Elephas maximus indicus: one gene and its partners. The protein of the gene in region 4 interacts with the protein of the main gene of each other region in a biochemical or structural test. Links are inferred from orthologs where the notes say so. Each region holds a gene or a part of one and is shown on either strand. Other genes may lie near its edges. The genes, in order: SLC34A1, SDK2, solute carrier family 22 member 12-like and PDZK1.

The links.
Region 1: the proteins of PDZK1 (region 4) and SLC34A1 form a complex in vitro, tested with the Homo sapiens proteins (2 studies listed by BioGRID and IntAct, with this or other methods). The link is inferred for Elephas maximus indicus from reciprocal best matches to the Homo sapiens genes PDZK1 and SLC34A1.
Region 2: the proteins of PDZK1 (region 4) and SDK2 interact in a test that uses a peptide from one of them, tested with the Homo sapiens proteins (2 studies listed by IntAct, with this or other methods). The link is inferred for Elephas maximus indicus from reciprocal best matches to the Homo sapiens genes PDZK1 and SDK2.
Region 3: the proteins of PDZK1 (region 4) and solute carrier family 22 member 12-like form a complex in vitro, tested with the Homo sapiens proteins (2 studies listed by BioGRID and IntAct, with this or other methods). The link is inferred for Elephas maximus indicus from reciprocal best matches to the Homo sapiens genes PDZK1 and SLC22A12.

Annotation. Positions count from the first base shown.
Region 1 is NC_064820.1:197,753,636-197,761,150, forward strand, and holds the start of SLC34A1 (sodium-dependent phosphate transport protein 2A), read left to right. Parts: upstream 1-4,500; 5' UTR 4,501-4,540; intron 4,541-6,034; 5' UTR 6,035-6,055; coding exon 6,056-6,164; intron 6,165-6,308; coding exon 6,309-6,458; intron 6,459-6,521; coding exon 6,522-6,650; intron 6,651-6,721; coding exon 6,722-6,865; intron 6,866-7,515.
Region 2 is NC_064837.1:63,965,722-63,973,600, forward strand, and holds the start of SDK2 (protein sidekick-2), read right to left. Parts: upstream 3,007-7,879; 5' UTR 2,987-3,006; coding exon 2,923-2,986; intron 1-2,922.
Region 3 is NC_064825.1:127,752,397-127,759,938, reverse strand, and holds the start of solute carrier family 22 member 12-like, read right to left. Parts: upstream 3,006-7,542; coding exon 2,604-3,005; intron 1,654-2,603; coding exon 1,550-1,653; intron 1,007-1,549; coding exon 852-1,006; intron 782-851; coding exon 613-781; intron 1-612. UniProt on the Homo sapiens protein: Electroneutral antiporter that translocates urate across the apical membrane of proximal tubular cells in exchange for monovalent organic or inorganic anions. Involved in renal reabsorption of urate and helps maintaining blood levels of uric acid.
Region 4 is NC_064821.1:157,858,020-157,865,903, forward strand, and holds the start of PDZK1 (Na(+)/H(+) exchange regulatory cofactor NHE-RF3), read left to right. Parts: upstream 1-4,880; 5' UTR 4,881-5,042; intron 5,043-5,240; 5' UTR 5,241-5,321; intron 5,322-5,936; exon of another isoform or gene 5,937-5,941; 5' UTR 5,942-6,018; intron 6,019-7,884. UniProt on the Homo sapiens protein: A scaffold protein that connects plasma membrane proteins and regulatory components, regulating their surface expression in epithelial cells apical domains.

The DNA of each region.
Region 1 (7,515 bases), on a different chromosome or scaffold from region 4:
CACCTCACACCCAACCTGCACAGACTGAACTTGGCATCTTCCCTCCAGAACTGCTCCTCCCGCTGGGAGCCTTTGCAATGTGAGACACCGCTAACCACCCAGGCTGCTGGCCGCAGGAAGGTCTGGGGGAGGCCACAGTCAGGTGAGAAGACAGGAAGTGGTTCGTGTGGGTGCCAAGCCCAGGAGCACAAATAGGACAGGAGTCACCAATCAGGGGGACACACAGACTGCCATGGTCCTGGGAGGAGGCGGGCAGTGGGCAGGAAGGAGGATGAGATGAGCAGAGGGCCAAGACGCTTTGGGGCTGGAGTGTATCTGCCTCCTCTCTCACTCGCAGGAGCCGAGAAAGCAGCTCTCATCAGCTCCAAAGTTTGGGGCCTTTCACTAGGGCTGTAGCAGCCCCACCCTCAAAAATTATTTTTGGAAGTGGTATAAGTTCCTAGTTGGCTGTTGAGATGATTCTGACTCATGGCGACCCCTGTGCGTCAGAGTAGAACTGTGCTCTATATGGTTGTGTTTTTTAAACTTGTGTGTGTGTGTGTGTGTGTGTGTGTGGTAAACGCATAGGTAAGAAAATATTTGCCATCAACAATCTTCACAAGTTAAAGCCTAGTGACATTAAAATGTTCATCATGTTGTTCAAACATCACCATTCCATGGGATTTTCTTTTTTTAATTATTTATTTTATTTAGTTAGTTTTGTTGTTGAGAATACACACAGCAGAACATACACCAGTTCAACAGGGTTTTCAATGGCTGATCGTTCAGAAGTAGATAGCCAGGCCTTTCTTCAGGGCACCTCTGGGTAGACTTGAACCTCCAACATTTTGTAACCGCTTGTACCACCCAGGGACTCTGTACCACCCAGCGTTTTGTAATTACAACCTTGTGACCCACGTGAGCAATACCTGCTTCCTCTGCTACACCCCAATCTCCACAACAGCAGGGAAGATGAACTTTTCAAACATTCGGAGAATCTCAACCTCACTAAAAATGAGAGGCACCTCCGGTTCATAAGGAGACCCTGGGATCTGGCTGCTCCTGCTCAGGGAGAGGAATAGGTCATATGACCAGGGTCTCTGGACCTGCTGCCTGGGTTGGGGTACTCCAGCCCAGAAAGTCCCCCACCCATCCCTACTGCAATTTTAACAGCGCCTCTGAGCCCCAGGACAGGGAGATTCTGACACAAAACTCAGCCACGACTGCATTTCCCTGGTTCAGCAACACTACCCCTCCTCTGTATGAACCCCGACCGTACCCAAATCACTCCTACCAAGTTCAAGGGGCTCGAGGACACCTGAGGGTTCACTGAGTAAATTAGGGTTCGTGACAGACTGTGATGCAACCATTAAAAACGATACGTGTGCCGAGTGTAAAGCCATGAGAAAAGGCTTACGATATAATGTGAGATGAAAAAGCAAGAGGCAATATTTTACGGACAATAAAACCCTAATTGAGTTAGGAAGGCATAGGAAAAAAGGATGAAAAGCAATGCTCCAAAATGTAACAGTGATGTTTCTGAGAAGTAGGGTGGCTTTTTTTTTTTTTCTTTTTTGTTGTTGTTAGTTGCTGTCAAGTTGGCTCCAACTCCTGACCACCCCAAGTATACCAGAGCAAAAGGCTGCCGGTCCTGTAGCATCGTCATGATTGTTGGTATGTTTGAAATCCCCGGTTGTGGCCATCGTGTCGGCCTATCTCACTGAGGGTTTCCCTCATCTTTGCTAGCCTCCGCTTTACCAAACATGATGTCCTTCTCCAGCCGTTGGCCCCTTCTGATGACATGTCCAAAGTAAGCAAGTCAAAGTTTCAGACTATATTCTGTGATCCACAGGGCTTTCATTAGCTAATATTCACAAGTAGACCTCCAGGCCTTCCTTCCTAGTCTGTCTTAATCTGGAAGCTCCGCTGAAACCTGTCCACCATAGGTGACCCTGCTGACACTGAAATATCGGTGGCATAGCTTCCAGCATCATAGCAACATGCAAGTCACCACAGTATGGCAAAGTGACAGACAGGTAGTGGATTTTCATCTTTACTATTTCAATAATTGAATGGAGACATTTTCAGTAGGCACCCTGAAGTGGCTAACTCTCTGCCTCAGTCTCCCAGAATCCCCCACAACCAAGGTGACTATACCATTTATAGTCCAAACCAAGACAATTTTCAGAGTAAAAGGAGACTCTGGCACAACAGTTGTAAACCAGGCCTGGGCCAGGCAAACAAGAACGTATGGTCACTTGGCCCCAAACCAATCCCAGCTGCACCTCCTCCTCCCTCCTCTCTCCCCTGTGGGTTCTGTGACCTGAACTGACACAGCCACTTTGTGGTGGGGGTGAGAGTCAAACTCAGGCCAGCTTGCTCTCTGCTCTTAACCACTTGGACGGAAAGGCAGCTGTGAACAGCATACAATGCACAACTGCTGTGCCCAGACTCTATGATGCTCAATGCATTAAGTGTTGATTAGTTGCTTTTGTTAGCTTCTTCCAAGTTGGGTTCCGACTCATGGCGACTCCATGCACGATGGAACTAAACGTTTTCCTGTCCTGTGCCACCCCCATGATTGGATGCGGATAGGACTGTCGTGACCCATAGGGTTTTCATTGATTTTTGGAAGTAGATTTCGTGGCCTTTCTCCGTAGTCTGCAAGCTCCACTGAAATCTGTTTAGCATCATAGCAACACACAAACCACCAACAGAGGGGCCGGTGGCTGCACTTGAGGTGCGTTGGCTGGGAATTGAACCAGGGTTAAAGGGGGAACTGTTTGGGAATATCCGTCTTCCTTGATAGAAAAACTCTGGGTCTATGTCACCCGAAAATATTTAAGATGTTAGTAGGACTGTTGTTTGGAGCAGCCAGTGAGCCAAGAGGATTGTTAACTTCAAACAGGACTGGGAATGCCCATGCCCTTAGCTAGGGCCATCCTGGAGACTCTGCAAAGAGCACGAGGGCACGGAGAACACAAAAACTCTGTGGGACTTGGTTCTAGGAGCTAAGATAGGTAATTTACATCCTGGAATTTTACAACTCACTGGAAAAGCCTGATGATTCCCATTTTATAGGTGAAGAGACTAGGACTCAGGGGGTGAGGGGACTTGCCTCAGAATCCTACCTGGCTGACTCAGGAGCCCATTGTTTGGACCAGGAGAGAATCTGGCTTTGCCCATCTTGGCTCAGCGTAGAGTAGGAACTTAACTAATGTACTTAAGAATGGATGGACAGACTGGTGACTGGCTGGCTAGCTAGCTGGATGGGTGGGTGGATGGATAGATGGGGTGGGTGGGTGGATGGACACACGCATGAATGGATGGATGTACAGATGGTTGGCTAGCTAGCCAGGTGAATGGATGGGTAGATAGATGGATAAAAGAATGGATCTATAAATGCAGATCGGTGGCTCGCTGGCTGGCAAATGTATGGACAAATAGATGTTGGACAAGTGGGTCGATAATCAGATGCATGGATGGTTTGACAATTTTAGGCAAGTTACTCAGACAGTTGCCCAAGATAGCTCTTGAATGAAACCCACACTGCTGGACCTGATTAAATCCTTAATCCTTTCTCATCTCTATGGCTCTGGGCCCCAACTCAGGCCCTGCAATAAAAGAGGAAGGAGCTTCCCCAAAGGCTCCCTAAGACCCAGCTCTGCATTTCAGAAACTGTACACACCTTGTGTTATTATCAGCCCCCCAATCTAGTGCCTTGACTGGCATATATTCCCCCTCCCTCCATTCCATCACCACCCAAGTCCGCTGCCCAAGCATCCCCTGGATGCATCTTCTCCTCCCTATCCCTCCTCTTCCCAGCTTAGCTCAGACCTCATTATCTCTCATCTGGGCCATTCCATCAGCTTCTCAACTGGTTTTTCTGCTTCCAGACTCGCTTCCTCTGACGCATTCCCTGACCCCACTTCAGATGGATTGTCCTAAAATATAGATTAGGCCCTTCTCCAGCTTGTCAGTGGCTCCATGGCCCCTTAGGCTCACACTCTGGATCCCTGGCCAGGCATTAGAGACCCTCCATGATTCAACATGACACAGCCTCTCTGGGTTTATCTCCTGTTGTTTCCTCCATCATACGCTCCCTTTCCCTGGGATGCTGCCCTGGAGCACAGACAGACACACAGATGCACAGATGCATGACAAGCCGCAGGGAGTTTGAGTCACTCCCTGGGGAGTACTGTCAGGTCAAGAATGAGAGGACTCTCTTTAGGGACCCTGGGAGCAAATGGCCTGAGTGGTGGCAGGTCTCTGCTGGGGGCGTAGGGGATGTGCCTGCCCCTTCACTGGGTGGTGGTTCAGGCTGTGTGTCCATGTGGGGGAGAGAGGGCCTGACCACAGACTCCCCCTGCAGAGCTGACGATTAGCAATTAACCGGGAGGAATCTCAGGGTGAGGTTAATCGAGGAACAGAGGGAGGGCAGCTACGGTTCTAGGGACTTTGCCCTTGACCCGAGGGTATAAAGAGGAGGGTCCCACCCCTTCCTCGGGCCCCTGGGGTTTTCTTGAGCAGCTGAGCAGGAGCTGAAACACAGAAGCCCAAGGTGAGCCAGAGCCCCCATGTCCCAACCCCATCCCCAGCTCTTAGTAGGAAACAGCCCATTATCCCCACCAGAAGTCCTCAGTCCCAGCTCCCTCAGCCAGTCTCCCCTCTGTCCTGCCTGGGTGCCTCCCATTCCTGCCCCTGTAACACCTCAGCCCCAGCCCAGCCTGGCTCACTGCCCCAGGGTGAAAAAAAACTGCTGTCCCAGGGCTTGGAATTCAGCTGTGCCCCCATCCCAACAGTCAAGTACCCCTGGGATAATGTGGGGGTGCTGAGACAGACTAGCAGCAACCCATCCCAACAGCCGAGGATCCTCAGACAATATTGGGGGTGCTGAGGCAGACCAGAGGCACCCCCACCACAATAGCCAAGGACCCCAGGACAGTGCTGAGTAGCTTAGAGCAAGCCTGGGTCTTCCCAGACTTGGTGGCAAGGTGAAGCCCCTCCTTACTGAAATTACCCCTGGTCTGAGCCTCATTCACAGAAGGGCCTTAGGTGTTCGTTTGGTGCCGCCAGGGTAGGAGGTGGATGAGAAAGGAATGTCAGTTGTGAGAGGAACCTAGGAACTTGGGATCCAGGCCATTGGGCCCTCCACCATGTCGGTGTCATGTGTGTGGCTATGAGTGTGTGCCCAGGAGCAGCCAGGTGGCTTCTCCCTGCTCTCAGGATAGGCAAAAAACTCTACCCACCTGCCCCAGCCCTGGTCTACACCTTCAACCTCTTCCAACTCACCTTGTTCCCTTGCCCCCAACCACATGGCAGTTCTCCGTTCCTGAACGGAGCCTGCTGCTTCCTCCCACAGGGGTTTGGCACACAAACCTCTCCTCCTCCTCATCCAGCTAACCGCAACTCTCTTTTGATCTCAGATAATTGTCTCTTTCTCAGGGAAGACTCTCCTCCCCCAAGAGCTGTCACTGCCAACACCACAGGGCACTTGGGGCACTCTAGGGGCATCCTGTATCTTTCGTTATCACACGGTCCCATTGCCATTTTCCACTCATTTGAGGGATTCTTTGACTTAGATCAGTCTCTCCCGCTAGGCTTTGAGCTTTCTGAGGGAAGACTTCTGTCTGACTTTAATCCCCACTGTACCCCATAAACCATTGAATGGTGCAAACAGTTAATGTGCTCAGCTGCTAACTGAAAGGTTGGAGGTTCAAGTCCACCCAGAGGCACCTCAGAAGAAAGGCCTGGCAATCTACTTCTGAAAAGCCACCCACTGAGTACCCTGTAGAGCACAGTTCTACTGCGATGCATATGCAGTCACCATGGGTCGAAGTCAACTCTATAGCAACTGGGGGGTTGGTTGGTTGCACATGCATCTAGCTCAGCACCTGGACTAGAATAGAGAATAAGTACTTGCTGCATGAATGAATGCCCAAATCTGTGGTGTTTGTGAGTGGTTATGCGTGCGAATCCCTGTGTTCCTGCGGAAGCGTGGCTGAATGTGTGTGTGTCCAGGACACACAGTTGTCACTCAGTGTTCTGCACGCAGGCCCCACGGTGTGTGCCCAGGATGATGTCCTATGGTGAGAGACTGGGGAGCCCAGCTGTCTCCCCGCTCCCCGTCCGCGGGGGACATGTGATGCATGGGGCAGCCTTTGCCTATGTGCCTAGCCCACAGGGTGAGTGCTACCCTGTCCTACTCCACCCCGCGGGTTTGGCTTGCCCACAGCTGCCTTCATCCAGGTCACACCTGTGCCGTTCCACATGCCCACCTCCCCAGGATCCTGGGGCCTTTGGGACTCCTGACTAGCCTCCCTCCCCAGTCCTGCACAGGATCCCAGGGACCTCCGCCTATGCCTTCCCCAGCCTGGGCCCCGTGGCCCTCGCCGAGCACAGCTGCCCTTACGGGGAGGTCCTGGAGCTCCATGATCCGCTGCCTGCCAAGCCGGCCCTGGAGGAGGAGCAGAAGCCAGGTAGGCCAGGCACAGGCTGGCTGTCCCGACCCATGACTGGTGCTCACAGCTGCCTGTCTCCAGAGCCTGGGTTGGCCCAGAGGCTCCGCCAGGCCAGCACCACACTGCTCAAGGTGCCACTGATGCTGGCCTTCCTCTACCTCTTCGTCTGCTCCCTGGATGTGCTCAGCTCAGCCTTCCAGCTGGCTGGAGGTAGGACTGTGTGGAGGGGCCAGGGCAGGGTTCCTGAAGGGCATCCATGGATGCTGGCTCCTGCTTTCCAGGGAAGGTGGCTGGTGACATCTTCAAGGACAACGCCATCCTCTCCAACCCAGTGGCTGGGCTGGTGGTGGGCATCCTGGTGACCGTGCTGGTGCAGAGTTCTAGCACTTCTACCTCTATCATCGTCAGCATGGTCTCCTCCGGCTGTGAGTCAGCCCATAGGGCCAGGAGACAGTTGAGTGTGTGTGTGGGGTGCCGTGGCTGCTGGACAAGGGGCTGGGGACAGGAGGCAGGAATGGCAGCAGGGGTGGGGTGGGGAGCTGGGGGGCAGGTGCAGGGACAGGGGGCTGGGGGCAGCTGTGGGGACAGGGGACGGAAGCAGGAGTGGAAGCAGGGGGCCAGGAGCAAAGTGCAGGGATTCAGCATCTTCCACTCTGTCCCCTCAGCATGGCCAGGTGTCTGAGCCAGGAGGTTGCCCTCAGGAGCAGAGAAAGGTGATAACTAGGACATACGCTCCCCAAGAATGTCCACCTTCATATGGCCACTCATTGTATCAGTCAGCGTTCTACCAGAGAAACACAACCAGTAGGAGGTATATGTTAAGAGATTTATTACAAGGAATTGGCATACATGATTGTGATTGGCTACACAAGTCTAAAATTCATAGGGCAGACTGTCAGGAAGGCAGGCTCACACTCTGGGGCAGGAGCTGACGCTGCAGTCTATGGGAGAAATGTCTTCTCTATCAGGGACCCATCAGCTCTACTTTTAAGGCCTTCAACTGATGGGATGAGGCCCACCCAGATCACAGAGGTTGATCTCCTTTACTTAAAGTCACTTGAGTGTAGACGTTACC
Region 2 (7,879 bases), on a different chromosome or scaffold from region 4:
TTCTAACGACATCGCTTGGTTTTGGAAATGAATGTGAATTGTATGACATCAGGTTGTGAGGTAAATGCTCAAATGCTGGCTTTCTGCGAAGTTGCCCAGGGCCAACACCTGAAAAAAACTAGGCTAAGTGTCCAAATAAAATCCAGCGTGGGCCAATGTGAGATTTGCCTTAAGAGAGGAACAGCTGCTGGCCCTTCTGTGTCACAGCTAAAGAATGGGAACAGAGGACTCCGAAGTGACAAACACTAGCAGAGGCAGACCCACTTCATCCACCCCCAAAGGGTTAACCGCATGACCTCAGACACCAAGAAGAAACTCTGCCTGTCATAAGCAGGTAAGAAAGGACCCCCATGCCTAGACCCCCCTGCCCCACCCAAATCCAGCATTGCCTGCTAGCCTGGGCTGAGACTCTGAATTCCCACAATCCTCTGCAAGGAGGTTTGCCACCCCAGAGACAAATGGAAGGAGAGTGCCTGATGAAAACATTCTAGGAGCCAGAGAACACAAACGGAGCAGCAGGGGACCTAGGCAGCCGACACTCCAAAAGGCAGGAAATAAGACAAGCCAGAGAGGAGTGAATCAACCAGAGATCTTCCCTGCTTCTGGCATGGGGAGAAGCTTGCTTGGGGACAGGAGGCAGCCTGGCTTTCACTTCAGCAGAACATATGGACAGAATACTAGCCTCAGGTAGATCGGCCAGGTGTACAGGTGGAACATGGATAAGACTTGATGACCCTAAAGGAAGGACCTACAGGTGACCTGGGGACTTCATGAGGGTCCCAGATGGGCAACAACAGTGAGCCACCTGCCCAGGGAAATCATGCCATTGCCCAGTCTCTGCAGTAATTAAATTAGAAGGGTCCAGACAGAGGCTGACACCCCACAGAGTCCTCTCTGTCTCCTGGTAACCCAGCAGGCATCTCAGAGCAAATGAGGGGGTAGAACCTGGGCCAGACTACAACCTATCCAGCTGGTGTCAGGGGCCAGGGAAGCTGACTCCAGCTGTGCAGAGGCTCCAGGTTCCCGGGAGAGCGGCTTAGACCCCAGTGTTGATATCACGGCAGCCCCAGGCCTGTGCCACTCCATTATCCAGAGCCTGCACAGGCATGATATGATGTTTGCTGAGTGACTAAATGACCGTAACCAGGTAGGGGTGGGGATGGAAATATCCAGCCACTGGGTGAAACTGCTTAAGATCTGAACGTGGAAGGACTTGAGGCTCTGGTGGAATCAGTGGGTGACAATATGTAGGGACAAACAGCATCTCTTGATCCGTCTTGATCTGGGAGGATGGGCCTGAAGAACACTCTGGGTTCTGGGCCACCCACTAGGAAAGACAATGTGACCCAGGCTGGGATATGGGTCACTTGGACCCAGTCATGATTCTGCCCCCAGATCACAAACGGCCTCGGGAAAGTCAGTTAAGGGCACTAAGCCTCGGTGTTCCTATCTCTAAAATGGCTACTAGGACTAGACGACCTCAGAGATCGCTTCCTGCTCAAAGATTTTATGATGACCATAAAAATAATAATAGTTTTTATTACCTTACATTTATAGGACCCGTTACAAAATTTCCAGGCGCTTTTCCATAAATTGCCTCGTAAAACCCTTCCCTCAACCCTGTGAGTGAGAAGATGATTATTTTCATCTCTTTGATCTTGGCTCTCTGGACTGCCTGACGCTGGGCTCGCTGGGGTCCCTTCCTTCCCCACTTCCTTCCCGTGGCTTGGCGACCCCAGAGGAGGGGTGGGGCCGTTTCGGGGTTGCAGCCCCCGCAGTCCAGCGCCCCCAGTGGGTCCTGGCCACCTCCCAGAACCTGGAAGCTGCAAGGCCAAGCCCCGCGAGTCCCGAAGCTGGAACCCAGGCTTCGTCTCCCTCCGCCCCCAGCAGGCGCCGCTGGACACCGCTCGCGCCACAGTCTGGATTTGCAAACCCCAAAGGCAAGGAAGCGCCGGTGCAGCCGCCCTCGCCCTCTGGGACCTGCCGGGGGGTGGAGGTGGGGGTGGGGGTGGGGGTGGGGGTGGCTGGGAGGGGACTTCTGGGATTCCGCGCTCTCGGGGCAGCGCAGATCACGCCTCCTCGTCCATCCCGGTACCCCCCACCCTAAACCCATCAGTCCTTTTTCTCCCCTGCGAGGCTGTCCAGGCAGCTACAGGTCAGAGTGGCGGCTGCAGACACAGCTGAGCCGCCAGTGGAGGCTGGAGGCAGGGGCGGGACGCAGCGTGTGTCTAGGGGGCTGGGGGGCGAGGGCCTCAGCCCCTCCCTGTGCACTCCTCCTTCGACCGTGATCATGGGCTGCGCCGCTCCCGGGTCCGCGCCGCCGAGCACCTCCAGCCTTCACGACCGGCCATCCGGCCAGGCGCGGGCTCCAGTACGCGGCCAAACCGGTCAACTGCCCTGCCCAGGCGACCTAGCAGGCACCCGGCGCCCGCCTGGAGCTCCCACCCGCCCCATTCCCCCGCCCCGGGTCGGCGAGCGCCTGCCCCGGCTTGTCCCTGCCCTTCCCCGCGGGCACCGAGTGGCGCGGTAGCCGGAGCCAGGAGCTCGGTCTGGGGGTGCGCGGTGGAGCGGGGGCGCAGAATGGCGCGCCCCCACCGCGCCGGCCCGAGGGCACCAACAGCGGTCCGGGGGGCAGTACCCCCTCTCATCTTAGCCTCTTCTCAGCCTACCCCGGTGACGCCTCCCAGCACTCATCCCCACCTCCCCCACTCGAAAACCACAAGTCTCAGGGAGACTGTCCCACATCCAAAAGGGTGCCCCCAAAACTCCGGGGGGTGGGGTCCTGAAACTCCCTAGAGAGGGCTCTGCCTGGGCTAAGCACAGTGTCCCGAGGCCATCGCGAGGCCAGCGGATTCTTGCTGTCTCTCTCCCGTCCACTCTCAAAGCCTCCTCCCCAGCCCCACGTGGGGGTGGCCCTCCTACCTTGGGCTCCGGCCGCGCGGATCCGTTGCAGGGTCAGCAGAGCCCAGATCAGCAGCCTCCACATGGTGGTCAGCTTGGGGGAGAGGCCTCTGGGGTCCCTTTCCCCTGTTTTATAATCCTGGTGGGGTCCGGCACACCACGGCTTCGTCCCCGGGAGACCGTCTACGCGGCTCTGGGTCCCTAGCGCTGTAAGTCCGAGAGGGGCAGTGCTGGCTACCCCAACCCTTCCTCCTCCTCTTCTTGTCCAAATCCGAGCCAGCGGCACGCCCAGAAGACGAGGGGCGACCAAGGATAAAGAAGCAAAGCCGCCCTCGCGGACTCGGGTCGCCTCCCGCCCTCAGCACCCCAACATCGACTTCTCACAGCAGGAGGGCCTCTGCGCTCCAGCCGGGTCGCCGGCCGAACACTGGAATACACCGACAACTTCAGGAAACTTCCTCCGCGGCCACGTTGCCGCCCCCCGCCCCCTCCGCCCCTTGGTTGGCTTCTCTGGCGGACGCAGTCACCGCTGTTCCAGGCGTCCGGTCCCCGGGGCCCGGCCCGCGCTGAGCGCAACTGCAGACGCGAATGCTGGGGGTCTCTCAGGGGCTCCGGCTTCGGGGGGCGCAGTGAGCATAGCGGTCCGTTTCTTCCCGGAGCCGAAGTTTTCTTCTCTCTAACTTTGCAGGCGGCATCTGGCGGGGCCGAGCCACCCCTCTCGGCTCCGCCGCCCTCGCGCGGAATCTGGAGTCTGTCCGTCCCCCGGCGGCCACAGGGGTCGGAGAGCCTTCTGCTCGGCGCCCAGCGGGCTAGCAAACTTTGCGGGTCCCGCGGCCCCGCGCGCGGCCCCGAGTTCCCATGTCCGCGCCAGCCGCGGGGCGGCGGGGATGGTGGCTGGGCTCGGCGCCCCCGGCGGCCGCGGAGCCTCGGCGCGGAGCCTCCTGTTGGCCGGAGGACGGAGCCGGGCAGCCGTGCCCTCCCTCGCGCCCTGGCGGGAGCTCTTGGCGAGCCGCGCGGAGAGCCCAGCAGGCAGTCCCGGCTCCGGGGCGCGGCGCCTCCGCGGACGCCCGGCGCTAGCCGCCCACCCGGGCCGGAGGAGCAGCGGCCGCTATGCCCGCCCAGCGGCTCGGCCGCGCCGCTCACTCGGCCACCGCCGCCGCTCGCCGAGCCCGCCGCCCTAAGCTTCCCGGGTTCGGCGTCCAGAGAGCCGCTCCTGCCTGCGCCGAGCGGGAGCTGCGGGGGCAGCGTGAGCCGGGGACGAGCGCGGCGGAGGCGGAGACGCGGAGAGGGGGGCCGAGCGCTACCCCGTGGCCGCGACTGGAGAGCAGCCTGCGCCCCAGGAGGGGGTGTGTGGGGGGGGGGGCGGCGGCGGCGGCCGCGAGCTAGACGCGGGAGCGAGCCCCGCAGAAACGCTATCTGGCTGCGCGGCCGCGGGTGCCCAGCGCCTCAGGGACCCGCCCGAGGGCAGCAGTGCCAACCTCGAAAGAGCAGAGATTCGCGCAGAGCCCTCGGCTCTCACGCCAGCCTTCCCTTCCAGCCTTCGCGGAGCACCGCTCTCCCCAAGGCCTCATCTGATTCCCAACCTCTCCCTCCAGTAGCTGGGACTCCCAACCCCTTCGCCCAGCATTGAGCGACAGAGGTGGGGGATGTGTTTGGGGAGAGGGCCTTGGTCACTTGGTTGATTCCAGTTTCCCTTTCCCAGGTCAGGCTTTCAAAAGTCTGGAAACGCTCAGGGCGGCGGGAGAGCAAGACAAAAGGGCGGCCTCGGACTTACAGAGGGCTGAGAAAGTGCGATTGGTGCCAAGGCGCAGACAACCTTTGTTCCTTGTGTTTTTCTTTTGAACCCCGCTTGTAAAGGGTAGATGAGAGGGAAGTTGGTGGAGGGGACACGAGGAGAATAGATCCGAGGTTAGGTTTCCTCCCTGTGGCTCCCAGGACAGCAGGGCCTGCACCCTCAAGCATGGGACCCCAGCGCCAGCTTGCAGAGCTGGATTATACTTTTGTGGGCGCTAGGCACCTTAGATTTTGTGGGCCCCCTTCCTGCATCAAAGCATACATGTTAAAAGCAGTATTTTATGACTGGTTTGGTATAAAGGTAAATATATTAATATTACATGGTAAAATATTTTCTACAACCTAAACATTTATCGCTTTGGATTTTAAAAGAAATGGAAACATTTCCCAGTTGTCATGGTCAGTTGCGGTTGAGTTGATTCCATCTCGTGGTATGCAGAGTAGACCTGTGCTCCATAGGGTTTTCATGGCTGTGATCTTTCAGAAACAGATCACCAGGCCTGACTTCCAAGGTGCCTCTGGGTAGACTTGAACCACCAACCTTTTGGCTAGTAGTAGAGCGCTTAGTCGCTTGTGCCACTAAAAGCACTGTGTTCTCTGGCAATGGGTCTCCTGAGCCTAAGGGATCGTTTGGCCCTGCCTCCTGGGTGTTCTCGGTGGACAAGCAAAGAACCAGTGAGACCTTTGCCATGAGTCCTTTTTTCTCCTCTCTCTTCCTGGTAGTTCTGCTGAGCTGGGCCCCTAGCAGCTGCTTCCTTTGTCTCCTCCTTCACGTCCAGGGCTCTCCCTCACAGGCTCTGCCTACAGGGTCCTTCCACCCAGAGGGTACCCTTTCTGATTGCTACAGTGAAGTGGACGTAGCCACTGCCAGCATTTCATTACTTCTACCTTCTCATTTCACCTACCTTGGAAAAAGAACTGGGCATTTTCTGGAAGTGTCTGGGAAGCTAGTCTGCCTTCCCTACAGTCCTTCCATCATTGCCTGATTCAAATCACATTTTGCAACTTTCCTCCTGGCAAGATGAGCCCTGTCCCAGCCCCTCTGGCTGGATGGATGGAAAATGGAAGGAGCACGGGAATAGGTGGCCTAGATGTCACTGGCCCCCTTCCCCTTGGTGGCCATGCCACTCCCACCTGCTGTGGGATGCCCAGGCCTGACCTCACCTACCGGCTGTGAGCTCTACAGAGCCTCCACCCCAGAGCCCAGGCCCTTCCCAGCAGCTCAGAGCAGCAGGCCTGAGGGTGCTATTATACGGTTCGCTCACAGAGGGGGCCAGAGAGCCAGATTTGCTGGGAACCTCTCCTCGACCACAAAAAGAGCAGCAGAAAGGTTGCGTTTCTGTTCACAGAGGCTAGTAGCTCATGACAACACAAATACCTGAAACCTTGGTGGAGTCCACCCTGCTCGTACCCAATCCCCAGAATTCCAGCAGCCAAGGAAGGGGGCAGTATGCTCCCCAAACAGCATCTATTCCCTTTGTAGAGGAGGCCTCATTGCAAAGCCGTGTGTAGCCCTCCTCCCTTTTTCTGGAGTTTAATTCCCGCAGGCCAGGACAGGGGACAGTCAGGGGCTGGAGTGAGGGAAGGGGGGTTCCTCTGCTTTGTTGGAAGTCTGCATGAAAGTCCAGGTATGCCTGCATGCCGGGGAGGGGAGAGGAAGCGACCCTAAACCAGCAGCTCTTACAGCAAATGGCTATCTCCATCCTTGCTCTGGGATGGAGGGAAGGGCTTGGGCTCTGTCTGGGCTCAACCTGCACACATACACGTGCGTGCATACACACACACACACACACACACACACACACGAATGGGATTATCTGCTTTTGCTTCTTATCAGAGTTTCTCTGGCCTAGGAGGAGGCCAAGCAGGGAGCCTGCCGCTTTGAGAGGGGCTTGTTCCTGGGAAAGTCACTTGCAGACAACGGGACCTCATTCTTGCCACCAGCGGTATAATTAGAAAGTTGCAAGCGGTGCCTTTACAGTGGATGTCACATCAGGAGGGACCGTGCGGCGTTCCCAGGCTCCATTCTGCCTCCCTGTTGCAATGCCGCCCCTTCTGAGTGGAGTCTACGCCTGCAGCTCTTCAACTTCATGTATATCTCTCCATCCCCAAAGCCAGCACCTTGTAGAAGGCTGGACGCCTCAGAGACGCTCTCCCCATACATGGGACTCTGTAAATTCAGGGGGTGGGGTACAGTGGCGTCACTAGGGCTGGTGATGCAGTAACTCATGGTGTCACCTCCCCATGGACCTCCTCCTGTATCAGACCATACAGACTCCTTTTCCCCACTTCATGTTTTCAGCTGTCGATTTCTCTAGTTATCAATAACCGTTATATATATGCATGTTTATTATTAATTTTAATCATAGACTAATAGGTGATACATATAGTTGTAAATAGCTTAAATCTAGTATTTCTTAGATTATACGAATACTAACAAAATTGTTTTGTAAAATCATTCTACATCGAATTACAACATTGATCCTTATAGCGTTATTGGTAACTAAGCGGAAGCCTTTTCGGATTTTTCTCCTTCTTTTCCTTTAATTACTACTTCATTCTCAAAAAAGTTATTGGTATCAGTTCACAAATGCCACTTACTGCAATATTGTAGCTAAAACACCAGAAAATTTGACAAAATCAGCAACGCTGAAAACCCTGGAGCAAGGAAAACAACAGCGCACACTTGTAGCGTGATTGGAAGCGTCATCGTAATTGACTAATTACAATTAATTGACCACTCTGACCCCAGTGCATTAGAAGGTTCAAAAGTAAATTAGCATAGAGTTTTAACCTTGTAGCTACATTGATACATCTAAGCTGGGCTTACGAAAAATGTTTTTGTTATAACTAGCTTTAGGGATATTTTTATAAAAAATAAATTTCTGCTGAAACATGGCATGAAATTTTTTTAGTCATTTTGGTGTCACCCCCTCTGACGGTGTCACTCAGTGTAGCCGGCACCCCCCGTGCCCCTGTAGTAACGCCACTGGTGGGGGACAGAGGCAGGGAGCAACTCAGTTAATTTCAAAAGAGAAGGAAAGGCCGGGCCTCTCTGCCTTGCTTTTCTCCCTCTCCCCCTACAAGCAGATGCGGGCTTAAAATGTTACCCCCCCCCCATGAAAAACATTCACTGAACCCCACAGGGCCACTCTCGTAGCCTCTCGTCCCACATATACAGTCC
Region 3 (7,542 bases), on a different chromosome or scaffold from region 4:
GCCCCCTGCAGCCTACCCCTGCTCCCCCAGCCCCCTAGCACTAACCTGGCCCCACTCCCCTCAACATCTAGCCCGCCCTCCACATTCGCCCCCAGCCTGCTGAGCGCCTGTAGCTCCCACACGCTGTCTGGCTCCAGGCCTCTGCCCAGGAAGTTCCCTCAGCCATCCATGCTGTCCCCAAGGAGCAGGGCCAGGGTTGGGCCACCTGTTTCCTACCCACCCAGGCCCTGGGGTCCTTGGCATTTGCAGGGGAGAAAACAGGGAGATTCAAGGGACACATTAGAGGTAGGGTTGACAAGATCCGGTGACTGAGTGGACTTGGGGGGTGGGAGAAGAGTGAGATGTCATGGCAGCTCCAAGCCCAATACCTGGGTGGGTGGCGATGCCCTCCAAGTTGGGAAAGCCTAGGGCAGGAACAAGTGTAAGGAGGTGTTAGGTTTGTGAGTCTAAGACCATATGGAGGTGTCCCGGAGGCAGTTAGGGACACGAGGCTGCAGTGGAGATTTGGTGTCTGGCAGCCTTTGGATGGAGTTAGAGCCCTTGGCATGGATGAGGTCACTGGCGAGGGAGTGTCCACCTATCTGGGAGAAGGGGCTGGGCTGAGGCACCCACCAGGAGTACACAAAGCTGAGGAAGAAGGGAACAGAGACTGTCAGCTGCAGCATGGCCCAGTCGCGCACACCGTAGGCCACAGCAGCCATCAGGGCCTGGCCGAAGCTGAAGCCCAGGGCGTTCAAGGTCATCACCAAGGGCCGGCCTGGCGCTGATGTCCACTCCATCACTGCAAGGAGACGGGAACAGGTCAGCCTTGTGCAAACCTTCGCCTGCAGGGCCTTGGGTCTGGGTCTTACAGAGTGTGGCTGTGTTCATCATGACGCCTGCCACAGCAAAGGCCACCAGGAAGCGGAGCAGGCAATACACAGGGAAGGTGGGGGCAAAGGCAGTCGCGGTGCCCACTGTGGCCAGCTGAAGGTAGCTCCAGGTCAGCACCAGCCTGCGTCCAAACCTGTGACAGAAGAATACCTGGGGTCCACAGTGTGCCACAGCACCTGGCATGGGGGTTGGGACCTCTGAGAGCCCACCTTTCACTGCTGGCTGTGTTGAGATGAAGGTCAACAAGACACCCAGGGCCAGACCCTCATTCTCCAACCCTGGAAGGCTTATGAGCATAAAGAAACATGTCCCTGACTCCGAGCAGAAAGAGAGCTCGCTCTCAGCAGGGGATGCGTTCCCCGTCTCCAGGAGGACTCAAGCAGGTATGTGGCACAGCAGGTTTCAGGAATGAGTGGTTGATTGGAAGCAATGACCCCCCTACAACCCTGAGAGTAGAGTCTGTGAAAATGAGGCTCAGAGAGGGCACACCCTTGCCCAAGGCAGCACAGCTAGAAGGTGGCAGGACTGAGGCCAATATCCAGACATTCTGGCTACACGCAGAGCTTTCTTCCTTGAGGCTGGCTGCAAAGGGGGGTCAGGGGCTGGTCAGGTCAGAAGTCTAGGGCTGCAGTGATGGCAAGGAGTTGGGAATCTGTTGGAACCAGGTGGCACTCACCTGTCGGAGGTGTAACCACACATAGCAGCTCCCACCAGGATACCAGCCATGTAAATGGACTGGGCCATGGGCTTCAGGCCCTGAGAGTCACACACCAGGTCCCACTGGAAGGGAGAGGAGAGGAGAGAGCTAAGCTCAGGAGCCAGGAGGGACAGAGGAGCTAGATGAGGTTTTGGGCAGCTGACCTGGTACTTCTAGGGCCATCTAGACCCCTGTGGGACAGTGAAGGCACTCATGAATGTGGCTTTGCCTTGTGAGAGGTTTCCGGTCACTGCTTGCCTAAGCCTCTCCATGGTTCCCTATTGCCCAATGGGCCAAGGGTCAATCCCTCTCTAGGCCTTGCCTACTCTGCAGTCACCACCCCGAGCTGGTGTTACCCGAACCTTCCCTCTGTTCTTTATACAGCCCTGCTTGCGGAGATGAACTGCCCCTCCCCGCCTTCCAGATTGACCTGGTGCCCCTTCTTCTCTGGAAAGCCACCTGGAATGCCCTAGCCCCAGCTGGGTGCTTCACCTGCTGCTCCCAGGGTCCTCAGGGAGACCTGTGGGCGGGCCCAGTTCCCTGTTAGATGGGGAGCAAGACCACACCTCATCCATGTGTCTCCGGCACCCAGCCCAGGGCCTCCGTGATTCAGCAAACCCTTCACCTGAGTCCGTATCTGACAGCCGAGTAAAATGGGCTGGGCGAGGTGGAGTGAGCTGCCTGGAGTTACAACTTGGAGGTGTGGGCAGGACCAGGCCAAGAGGAGGCCAGCAAAATCCCAAGTGCAAATGTTAAAGGGGCACTCGGGTATCCACCCAGCACTCCCATGAGCCCACCTCCTTAATGCTTGCACTCGGACCTGTTGCTGGCCTTCCCTAGTCCCAGCCCCACAGACAGTCTTTGCAGACCAGCTGGATTCTACGTTACCTTCTAGGATGGTGGGACTGAGGAGGGGTTAGATGCCAGTTCCCAGGACTGGGCCATTTTCAGGCCAGCCAACTGTGACCTGTGATTTTCACCTCTAGGGTGTTAGGACTCAGGGTGTGTATGTGTGGTGGGGAGAGGCCCTTACCTGGGTCACAATGGTGGAGGTGAATGTGCTACGGTCATAGACCCAGCCGTCCATGCACGGCTCCGTGGCAGCCTTGCTCCAGTTGGTGGACATAGCGTTGGGGTCCAGAAGCTGCCACTGTGGGTGGCGGAAGCGGCGACACCGGTGGGGTTCTTGGTTGGGGCCAGGCGGGATGGAGATGGTCAGCAGGGCCTCAGGGCTCAGGGTCCCGGGTACACTGGCCTGGGCTGTGCTGTTGTCCAGGAGTGGCACCCAGCAGCGGTGGCTGGGCACGGCACCTGAGAAGTTATCCAGCATGTTGTGCATGGTAACCCACATGATGGGGGCCACCAGGGCCACTGTCTGGAGAACCTGAAACCTGCCCTGGCTGCCCACTTGGTCGAGGAGTTCAGCAAATGCCATGGGGCCTCCCAGGGGACCCGGAGGAGGCACCCACTTCCCAGAGGGCAGCCTGTCAGGGGCCACCCGCCTTGCTGACCCAGAGCCACTGCCCAGCGCTGTTACTTGGGGCAGCTTGAACGAGACTGGAGTCCACTGACATCTCCCAGATACTGTACCCTGGGACCTCCCAGAAATGTTAAATTTGGGAACTGGGGAAAGTGGAGACTGAGGTCACCCTGGCCAGAAATTAAACTGTGACCAGGTGTCACTTATGGAACAGGGTTTAGTAATCATTTTCTCAGTCAAAGTTTAACCCACTCAGAGAGAGACGTCCACTCATCCATGCCTTCCCACCATGTGTCGGTGCTGGCCAGTGCCTTTCTGCCCTTGCTCCTGCTGCACCCCAACCTGGAATGCCTTCTCCAGGCTCCTGCTGGGGCCAGACCCTGAAGGTCCTATGAACGCCTCCTCCTTCAGGGGGCTCTCCTTGCTTGTTCCTGCCCACCCCCGGGCTCGGAGGTATCTTTGGAGCCCATCTCTACACTGTCCTGCATCCTTGTAGTATTGTCCAGGAGCCTTGTTTCCAGCCCATTCCTAGAGGGTGGGGGCCGTTTGTCCTGCATCCTTGGGACCCAGCACTGATTTGGGCAACAAACAGAGGTTCCATGAAGATGTGCTGAAATGCATGGATGGTTTTCAAAACAGCTTTAATTTTTTCTGACTATAAAATTAATGTATAGATCTTCCCTGAAATTCAGAAAATATTGAATGATATGAAGAAAATAGAAATTATTCCTAAACTTCCCCAACCAGGGATCTCCACCATTAACATTTTGGTGTAAATACTTCCAGATTCTTTTAGTAACTGTATGTCCAGCTTCATCAGTCTTCATCAGCTTACATCTCCTTTTGTAAGATCCAAATGAAAAGCCCCCGGCCTTTGTGTGTATGTGTGGTAGAACATATATCACATAAAATCTTAAGTGTACGATTTGGTTAGTTAATCACATTTCACTACGCTGTGCAACCATCACCAATATCCATTTCCAATTTTTTTTATCACCCCAAACAGAAACTCAGTACCCCTTAAGCAATAACACCCCATTTCCCCTTTCTTCCCTGTCTTAGGCTGGGTTCTCTAGAGAAACAAAACCAGTAAAGCATACATATCTATATACCTATATCTATATATCTATATCTAGAGAGAGAGATTTATCTCAAGGAAATGCCTCACACAGTTATAGAGGCTGGCAAGTCCCGAGTCCATGGGTCAGGCAGCAGGCTGGAGGCTTCTCCTGACTCATGTAGCTGTAGAGGCTGGCAAGTCCCAAGTCTGTGGGTCAGGTATCAGGCTGGAGACTTCAGCAGGGGCTGATGAACTCACGATTGGCAGGTGAGACGGCAGGCCACTGGCTCACAGGCTGCGGAGGCCGACTGATCCCAACATTGGCAGGTAAGCTACTAGCTCAAGTCCCAAGAACTGGATGTCAGATGATAATGAGCCAGATGCAGGATACAGAGCAAAAGGCTTGCTGGAACATCTATTTATATACTGGAGACAGGCCTCACTCCAAAGGAAACTTCCTTTTAACTGATTGGCTGCTCATAACATACCTCATGGAGTTAATTACGTCATTACATAACTGCCAAATTACATCATAGCTGCCAAACCACTGAGAATCATGGCCCAGCCAAGTTGACACACAACATTTACCACCACAGTCCACCCCTTGTCAACTTGGCATCTGTACACATCTCATTAAACCATACATAATCTCTATATAAGGACAATTATAAAGTCATACTTGCACATAGCATGATATAACACGTGTACAACTGAAAACACACTAGCCCTGCTTACTTCTGATATTTTATAAATGAAGAAAACAAAAATATTTGATGCACACATGCAGGGAAGAAATACTTATAACAATTGCACTCCTCGTTTCTGCAGCTGGTCATGTGGTTGTAGCTGATATTTAGAACTACTTTCTTCCACCACCCTTTGTGTATTCCCTTTACCCTCAGCAAGCACCTCAGCTAGTTGTGGTCCTTTGCTTGGTGGGATGACCCAAACCTTCATTCCTGAAGAGTCTGGGCCATTGGTAGTCATGTCATAATTTGGTTGCTGTAGTTTTCCATTGACATTACCATTCCGTCACAGGGCATGGTAGTACTAAGAGATGCCCTAAGAGATCTCCTGTATTCCAGACATACTCTTCTTTACCTCCATTATGTAATATCAATTTGATTTCCTCTTGGTAATCTGGATCAATCAAACCAGCCAGTATGGTAACTCCCTTCTTTGTTGGTTGATCCAGAGGCATGAGGAGCCCAAAGTGGCTGGGTGGCATTCTTAACTTCCAATTCAACAGAATCAGTGATGTGTCTCCAGGTGGGAGCATTCCTTTCTTTGGAACTAAGACCTCTAAATCCACAGAGCATAGGGTAGTGGGGAGAGAAGCAAAAATTTTGCCAGTGGGTCACTAGGGGTAATAGTGAGTGATGCCACTCCCATTTCTATCCCCTGATTCCTGGACCCATGAATCCTGGCTATGGGAGAAACAGCGCCATATATTGGATGCTGGTTTAGAGCATATACAGCCTCCGGGAGAACATCGCTCCAACCCTGCAAGGTATTGCCACATAGCAGGTGCCATAACTGTGTCTTTAGAAGGCCATTCCATCGTTCTATCAAGCCAGCTGCCTCAGGACAATGGGTAACATAAGACCAGTGAATTCCCTGAACATGGGCCCATTGCCATACTTCATTTGCTGTGAAGTGAGTCCCTTGATCCAAGGTGATGCTGTGTGGGATACCATGACAGTGGATAAGGCATTCTGTGTGTCTACAGATGGTAGTTTTGGCGGAAGCATTGCGTGCAGGGAATGTAAAACTGTATCCAGAGTAAGTGTCTATCCCAGTAAGAACAAAATGCTGCCCTTGCTATGATGGAAGCAGTCCAATGTAATCAACCTGCCACCAGGTTGCTGGCTGAGCACCTCAAGGAATGGTGCCATATCAGAGACTTAGTGTTGGTCTCTGCTGCTGGCAGATTGGGCACTCAGCAGTGGCTGTAGCCAAGCTGGCCTTGGTGAGTGGAAGTTCATGTTACTGAGCCCTTGCATAACTTCCATCCCTGTCAGCATGGCCACTTTGTTCATGAGCCCATTGGGCAATGGCAGGAGTGGCTGGGGAAAGAGAATGACTGACTCCCACAGAATGCATCATCCTATCAATTTTTGGTGAGCATTCACGCGAGACACAAATATCTTCACTTCTTTGGTCCATTCAGAGATGTCTATCCACAAATCTTTTCCCCGTACCTCCTTGTCACCAATTTTCCAATCATGTTCTTTCCAAGTCCCTTATCATCCAGTCAAACCATTGGCCACAGGCCATTAATCAGAATACAGTCACACATCTGTTCATTTATCCTTCCAAGAAAAGTGAACTACCAAGTGCACTGCTCTATGTTAAGCCCATTGGGAGGGTGTCCCTTCACCACTACCCTTCAGGGAGGTCCCAGAAAGGGGTTGTAGTGCTGCTGCTGTCTACTTTTGAGTGGTGCCTGTGTGTTGTGTAGAACCATCTGTAAACCAGGCACAAGTTTTCTCTTCTTTAGTCGACTGACCATAAAGAACTCCCCATGAGGATATAGGTGCAGACTGGGACAGGGCATATAATATGACAGGAATGAAGACTTTGGGCATTTGGGCCACTTCCTCATGCAACTTACTTGTGCCTTCAGGTCCAGCTCTGGCCCGATCTCATACATACCACTTTCGTTTAATGATGGAGTGCTGCTCTGTACATCCAACTTTATGACTCTCTGGGTCAGACAACACCCAGTTCATGATGGGCAGCTTAGGTTGCATGGTGACTTGGTTACCCATGGTTAAGTGTTCATTCTTTACTAAGGCCCAGTAACAAGCCAAAAGCTATTTTTCAAAAAGAGAGTAGTTATCTGCAGAGGATGGAAGGGCTTTGCTTCAAAATCCTAAGGATCTGTGCTGTGATATGCTGATACAGGCCTGTCAAAGACTCCATACAGCATCTCTATCTGCCATGGACACTTTAGGCAACATTAGATCAGCTGGATCATATGGCCCAAGTGGCAGAGTGGCTTGCATGGCAGTCTGAACCTGTTGCAGAGCCTTCTTTTGCTCTGGGCCTCACTAGCAGCTTTTCGAGTCACTTGATAAATAGGCTAGAGTAGCACACCCAAATGGGGGCTATACTACCTCCAAAATCCAAAAAGGCCCATCAGGCATTGTGCCTCCTTTTTAGTTGTAGGAGGGGCCAGATGCAACAATTTATCCTTTACTTTAGAAGGAATACCTCAACATGCCCCACACCACCAGACCCTTAGAAATTTCACAGAGGTGAAATGTGCCTGAATTTTTTTGGGTAAATTTCTCACCTTTTATTAAGCAAAAGGACCCTTGTGGTGCAGTGGTTAAGAGCTATGGCTGCTAACCAAAAGGCCAACAGTTCAAACCCCTATGGGGCAGTTCTACTCTGTCCTATAGGGTCACTATGAATTGGAATTGACTC
Region 4 (7,884 bases):
CTGACCACAGCTCTCCAGGGTCCTCGGGTCTCCCCTGACCTGATAACCAGGTTGCTGAAATAAGTTGCAGGCATGTGTGTGCCATAACTGGCTGGGGGGGTGGTGGGAGTGCAGAGGCTGCACTCCACCCTCAGACAAAACAGATGGGGCCATCCCCATCCTGACCTGGGCTTCCAAGAAGAAAATCTACCTTCTTCAGTGGGCAAGGAAGGCAAGCATTGCTTTTCTTTTTGACATGCTAGAATTCTAAAGCAATGAGGGAAAACAGGGTGGACATGGATTAGTTTGCTCTCCAGACCAGAATGTCAGGGGGCTCAGGAACCATTCTGTTAGAGAAAATGCTTGAGTCAGGGATATCTTTTCATCCCCTTAAATCATGCCACTGACCTGGGCCCACTCGTCTGCTCCTGGTTCCTGATTCTTTCTCACAGGCCTTGTACTTCTGGATGGGGTGGTCCCAATCTCTCTTGGGCGCAGAGGATGCAGTCAGGCTGAGGCTGCGGCCCCGAGATCCCTGCCACTCTCCTGGCTGTTCTTTTGCTCCCAGGCTTGTCTGTTGGGGCCATTGAGAGGTTGACTCTTTACAGCAAGATTCAAACTTCCCAAGGACCTCTGATCTGCAGTTTCTGGGTCCCTCAGAGACAGGCAAACAGAGACACTTTTAATCCACTACAAGAATGCCCAGACCTTTGCACACGTGGGAACCCAGAACAGGGCATGTTCTTGCTCTGGGCCTCAATTTTTCTTTTGGTAGAAAAGGATTGTGCATTCTGAACCCTCAGCTGGGAGAAGAAATGACCACTAAAATATCCTTTGCAGTCAGCTACAAGTGTTAATAATTCACAGCTCTCCAAGGTCCTTTGGCCTCCCCTGACCTGACACCAGGTTGCTGAAAACACTAGAAAGTTGAGATCTGCTATCTTGTGGGGCCACAATGCCTGTAAAGCAAAGTGGCTGCCTTTCCTCCCACCCATCACTGTGCACTGCTGTAAAACATTCATTGCAGTCCTGCACCTGGACTCTGACCTAATAAATTCCTCCAGAGGTATGCAGACTGCACAGGCTGTTTCTTCAGACGGTGGATGAGGCCAGAGTAGCATGGTGGGGGAGGGGGTAGAAAGGGGAGATTGCCATAAACATTGACTCAGGACAGGGACAGAAAACCACTGGAGCTAAAAATGCCAGGCTCTGAGTCGACGGCACTGGTTTTTGTGAGTTAATGAGCTACCAAAAAGACAGGGTAACACTGAAGCAATCAGATCTGAAATTGGGATAAAAATTCAAGAGTATCAGGGATGGAGCCCAAATGCAAAGGGTGAAGCCTGGAATCTTGTACATAAGAACATCCAGATGGTCCCCAGGAAGCCAGGCAGAATGGTGTAGTAGAAAGGGCATTGACCTTGGAAGCAAAAGCTCAGGGTCTTAGCCCTGTCCCTGCTATGAACTTTTGGAGACCTAAGTTAAGTCAATTCATCTCTCTGAATCCTTTTTCAGAGTAAGAAAATTGAAGTGGTAAGATCAAAATTTCCTGACCAGGGTGCTCAGGTGTGCCACAGGTGGGTTATGGGAATGCCAAGATAATGCTCCCTTTGGGTTTTGAATAGTCTGGGCAGGGCCGAGGGCAACTGAAACCCTCAGGTAGGTCACTTCCAGCCTTGAAAAACTTCTTCTGTTTACTCTGTTATCTAGACATACACCGTAATTTTTAAGTTTTTGAATTTCTTAACCTCATTGTCAGATATGGTACACAGAAAATACATGAATGAAAATGCATAGCTCAATAATTTATCACAACCACCTGTGCGACTACCAGTCAACTCAAGAACTAGAATCTTGCCAGCATCCCAAAAGTCAGTGTAGTGAGTGACCACCTAAACAGGCACCCCAGAAGTTCTGATTTGGAGATGACATAAATGGAATCATAGAATGAAAACAAATGAACTACAGCTCCATATAGCAACATGGATGAATCTCATAAACATCATGCTGAATAAAATAAGCCAGATGCAAACCCTGAACCATTTATTGAAAAAGGCCATTCTTTCCCTCTGTTCTTTGTCATAAATCGATATAAATCATATATGTATGACTGTGTTTCTGGGCTTTCTAAGCTATTCCATTGGTCCATTTGTCCATCTTGTGCCAGTACTATATTAAAGTAGTTATTGTCACTCTACCATCTTGAGATCCACTACAGCAACTCCTTCCTTACTATTTTGTTTTCAGAACTAGCTTATGAAGCTCCATCAACAAAAAAAACAAAGCCTATGGGAAGTTTGTTTGGAATTACATTAATCTGTAAACAATCGTTTTGAAGAGAATTGACATCTTTACAGTATTGAGTCTTCCAATCCATGAATATGGTATAATCTTCATTGGATTTTCTTTAATTGCTTTTGGTGATGTTTTTTAATAGTTTTCTACAAGTATGCCAAAAATATTGGTCCCCTCAACCTTTGGAGAGTCTGGGCAGAGCTCAGAGTTCCTGGTCTCAGGCAGGTCTTTCCAGCGTTGAACAAACACGTCTATTTACTCTAGTGTGCTATACAACTACTATCATTTTCTATGTGTGGCATGATGGGAAAAAGATTGAGAAGTCTTGGGAAGTATTTCTAATTTTCTGTTTCTGACCAGTTGCACCAAATGGTGTGTTGTGAGCAGGCAGGAGCGCCATACATTACTGTTCCAAACATCCCAAACTCCCAAGTTGCCCATTGTGTACTTCTAGCTCATTTATTTTCATTGGCCTGTTTGTATAATGTGTGCCCATAAATTAAGAGGACTGATTCCTTCAAAAAATGAGAATAATAATGTTTCTATGCACCAAGCATTTACCAGGTTCTGGGCACTCTACAAATGTCTTGTTAATTCTCTGACCAACCCTATGAGATTGCAGTATTATTTTTATTATACAGATAAGAAAGCTGGAGGTTGGGATGCAAAGTAACTACTAAATTGTAGAACTACTATTTTTTTTAAATCAACTGAAAACCCTCCTAATAAAGTTCACAGAAATACTGTGGAAAATACATCAAGCATTTTGTCAAATAGATAGTTGAACTTGGAAGAAATGGAAAATAAATCTCTAAGATCCAGAATGAAGAGGAAATGGAAAAGTGGTAACCGGTTTGTGTTCACAGGGTCACTTTGCAACAGGAGATAAAAGCTAGGAACTGAGACCCTGCATAGAGGTGACACCCTCAAAAACTACATTCTCAGTGAAAAGGTGGAAGAAAAACCAGCCCTGTTGGCAAAAGGAGTTTCATTCATTTATTTATTTGATTAATTCATTTGACAACATTTTTTGAAAAGGCTTATATTCTAGGCACTTGGGATGTAGTCAACAAAACAAATACACACCCTGGTGGTATAGTGGTTAAGGGCTACAGCTGCTAACCAAGCGGTTGGCAGTTCATAATCCACCAGGTGCTCCTTGGAAACTCTATGGGGCAGTTCTACTACGTCCCATAGGGTCACTATGAGTTGGAATTGACTTGATGGCAATGGGTTTAGTTTTTTGGTTTTTGGTCCCTGTGGGTATATATATATATGTATATTGTATGTATATACATATGTATGTGTATATACATATGTATGTGTGTGTGTATATATATATAAATGGAAGCCTGAAATGTTGTGGCTATTTGTTCCAGCTGTGCTGGGATAGAAGGCAAGTCTGAGAATCTTGTTGATTGGGAGATGAATGAGTGCTTCATGTGAGAACTGCTTTTTTTTAATTTAAATAGATGTTTTCAGAATCAATTTTACTGACTTATGCTCCTTAAAAAAAGAAAAAAAGGTATTTTTACATGCAATATAATCCAGCTATTTTAGCTGTATACCCATAGCTTGATGAATTTTGGTAACTGGAGACATGTTGCCACTCCCAACACTCAATAAAGTTTCATTCCCTCACCTTAAAAAGTTTTCACTTTAGGCCCTAGATTTTAAGAGGGACACTGACAAATCAGCTGGGCGTCCAGGGTGATAAGAAGTCTTGAAGTTATCACATAGGCTTAAGCCATATGGAATATTCTATAGGCCTTATGGAATGAGGGGCATTCAATGAATCTCTCAGAGTCTCAGAGAAGACTTATGGGGGATAGAAACCAAAATATCCAAACTTGTTGCCCTCGAGTTGTTTCTGACTCATAGCGACCCTGTAGGACAGAGTAGAACTGCTCCATAGGGTTTCCAAGGAGTAGCTGGTGGATTTGAACAGCCAACTTTTTCGTTAGCAGCCAAGCTCTTAACCGCTGTGCCTCCAGGGCTCCTGTGGGGGATATCCAAAACCAAAACCAAACCCATTGCTGTCGAGTTGATTCTGACTCATAACAACCCTATAGGACAGAGTAGAACTGCCCTATAGAGTTTCCAAGGAGTGCCTGGGAGATTTGAACTGTCGACCTTTAGGTTAGCAGCCACAGCACTTAACCACTATGCCACCAGGGTTTCCATGGGGGATATAAAAGAGGGATATAGTTGCCTTCAAATACCTGAAGGACTGCTGTGTAGAATAAAGACTAGATTTAGGATGTAGAGCTCCAGAAGGAACTATTAGGATTTATAGGTAGAGGTGAGAGAAATTTTGACTCAAAATAAAGACCACATTTCTAACAACAATATAACAACAACTATTCACAGATGATGAAAGTGAGACTCAGCGAATTAAATTAGCCTAGATTAAACACCTGCGAAGTGGCAGAGGCCGAATTTGAACCCAGGTGTTCTGGTGCTAAATCCTGATTTTCCCATTATACCTTGCTGCTTTGGAAGATATGCAGAAGGCCCAGAGGGCACGCTTCAGGTGGAAAATAACTGGTATGCGGAAGCTACTCAGGTATTTGTCATTTTCAACCATTTACCAACTGACTCCGGCCATGGCTTTGTTGGGGGCAAAGCCAAGGCACAGTGACAGCAAGAGGCCTTTCCGGCGTGGGTGGAGAAAGGGTGAGGCCACCCGGTCCTCGGCCGCGGTTTGTTTTGTCTCATTGCCTGGAGCAATCTCTTGCCCTTATTTCCAGTGTGGGCTGAGGATGCAGGTCAGTGAGAAACTTGGTGGTAGATTCACCAGTGTGGGTGCTGCTAACAGGGATCAGCTGCTGGTCCTGGCTGGGGCTGGGGCTGGGGCTGGGGCTGGGGCTGGGGCTGGGGCTGGGGCTGGGGCTGGGGCAGTGCAGGAGAGCACCACCCCACTGCCCAGGCAGCAGGGCTGAGGAGCTTTTGAAAATGCCTTCCAGCTACCCAGACATGTTTGCCTGAGACACAAGAAGTGAATACAACTGTCATTAGCTTGGAGATTGAAAACAGAGCACTCTCAGGTGAGAGAGATTAAAAAAAAAAAAAAATGCACGGGAGAAAGGGTATAAAAGGAAGGGAGCTTGGGGAAGAACAGGGGCTTTGAAGGGTGAACTCCCAGGGACTATGCGAGTAAGAACTCTCAGGGTGGGAGTCCATCTTGCCCTATCCACTTGGGCTTAATGGCCTGTTAGCCTTCTACTGGGGCCATGGGTGGGGACTGCACAGGCTGCTGCTCCCCAGGGAGGCCTTGGTGTGTAAGGATGCTCCGGCGATGGCAGCCTGGCTCAGCAGCGACCTTTGCTTGGGGACAATGGAAATGCCTAAGGGGACTAGGTGTTTGTTGAGTGTTGGTTGGCTGTGACCTAGGCATTTGCCTAAGGGAGGGAACTCAGGAAGGCAGAGGTACTTCCTCCCTGGTTGTCTTCCCTTCTTTTCTCTGTCCTGGTCTTTGGGAAGGGCAGGCAAGGAGCAGCATCCCCAGGCAGTTAGGCAGGTGGGCCTAAGTTTTTTGAGTTTGCTGGAGTTTTCCAGGCTTGCCCAGCTCAGGGCCTAGCCAGCTGGCAGGAAGCAGAACAGAGGTCAGACTACAAGTCCCTGTTAAATACATCAACTTTTAAATCGATCTTTGTTCAAAGTTCAGCAAGTTCCAAGACTAGTGCTCATCAACAGAGAGAGTTCCTGAGTGAACGGAACAGCTCCTCTCTTTCCTGGATTCAGGTAAGAACTTCTGACTCTTGCGTCCCCCTGACTGAGGGTACCAGCCACCTGGCCCTGGACCACTGTCTTTCTCTTCTTTTTTTCTTTTCCAAGCAAGCAGCTGGCTTTCTAGGATAGGAGAGAGGCCCATGGGCAAGTTGTCATTGGCCAGGCCCCTGGGTGGGGAAGCAGGGGGTGTGTGCACGTTTGAAATTCTCTTGCGTGATGGACCCCTGACCCTTGCAGGTCAGGGGCTGCCCGACAAAGCAGTTTGTGGAACTGATCCTCAGAGAAAACTTTCCCAGGGTCGTATGGGGATTTGATGTTCAGCCAAAGGGAGACGTCACAGGTCATGAGGAAGTTAACTCCAAGACCTTCTCCACTATTAAGGGGGTTTAGGTATTTGAGATTGTCTTCCAGAAGCTCTTTGTAAAAGACAGAATGTAAGTTAACTTTATCTCATCAGGTAACAGAAATGGGCATCTCTTTTTTTTAAATTTATTTTTTTTATCACATTATAGCACAAAACAATGAGGAAAATCAGTGGGTTTCTAGGGTAGTTGAATTTGAGAATGTAGAACTCCAGTTTCTACCCTTTGGAGATTCTAATTCTTCAGGTCTTGTATAGTCTGAAGTTCTTCTTTTTTTAAGATTTCCCAGGTGATTGTAATATGTAGGCAGGTTTGGGGACCAATAGGAGATTATTTCCTAAGCAGAAGAATCAAGGGACTTAAGTAACCTTCACCTAGTGGTTCACCGTGGAGACAGTCTGGGTTGGCCTCACAAGAGGAACACATTCCTTCTAGTTTACAGTCCCTGCCATACAGCATCAACATGCTCAGTCCTGTATCCAGAAGTCACAGGGCTGAGTGTCTCAGGCCACAACTGTCTGGTCACCTGGAGTCATATGTTCTTCTTGCAGCAACTAACTCAAGGACTTTGAGTTTATGTTTTAATGACTAAGTGAATTGTTCTTATCTTTGACATTTTCATATGTTCTTTGTATCATAAAATATGAAGTAGTTAGTAACGATGGCTTACATTCATAGCCAACTTGCTAGGCAGCTATGTATCATCAAGGGGAGAGGATGCAGGGCTGGGGGAAGAACTGGGTTTTGATTTAGTTGTTAGTGAAAAGTCACTTGGCCAAAGTGAGCCTTGATGTCACCATCTGTCAAATGAAGACCTCATTGTTGCCCCAGGGCTGTACCAAAAATTATAAAAATATGAATGCATTTAGGAGACTAAACACAAAAGTGTAAGGTACTTATGTTACAATGTGTGTATCCAAAAGCTCTGTGGAATAGTGGGAAGAAACAGCCTTGCAGTCAGGTTTTTTAATCTCATTGAAACTCTATTTAAAACCCCAAATCAAACCCATTGCCCTCGAGTCGATTCCGACTCATAGTGACCCTATAGGACAGAGTAGAACTGCCCCACAGGGTTTCCAAGGAGCAGCTGGTAGATTCAAACTGTCAACCTTTTGGTTAGTAGCCATAGCTTTTAACCACTGTTTCACCAGGGCTCCACAAACCTCTATTTCCTAGTTGAAACTAGATGATCGCTAACGGGTTTTCCAGGTCACCAAGGATGTGATAGATGCTGGAGCTTTGAAGCTAGGGTAGTCATTAGCCTCCTGAAGCTGCCCCATTTCTAGAGAATATCTTCATTGCAGGGCTGGGGGTGTTAGCCCTGGTGGTCTTACTGGTTGTGTTCCTAGAGCAGGTATATGCAGTGCCAAGGAATATTCAAAGCCTCAGCCCTCTGTTTTCCCACACTAGCTTTTACAGCTTCCTGGGACCACAAACTCTGAAATGGTCTCCCCCTTCCTCAGATCTTTACATGACTATTTTCTTATCATTTGGGTATGAATTCAAATGCCAACGC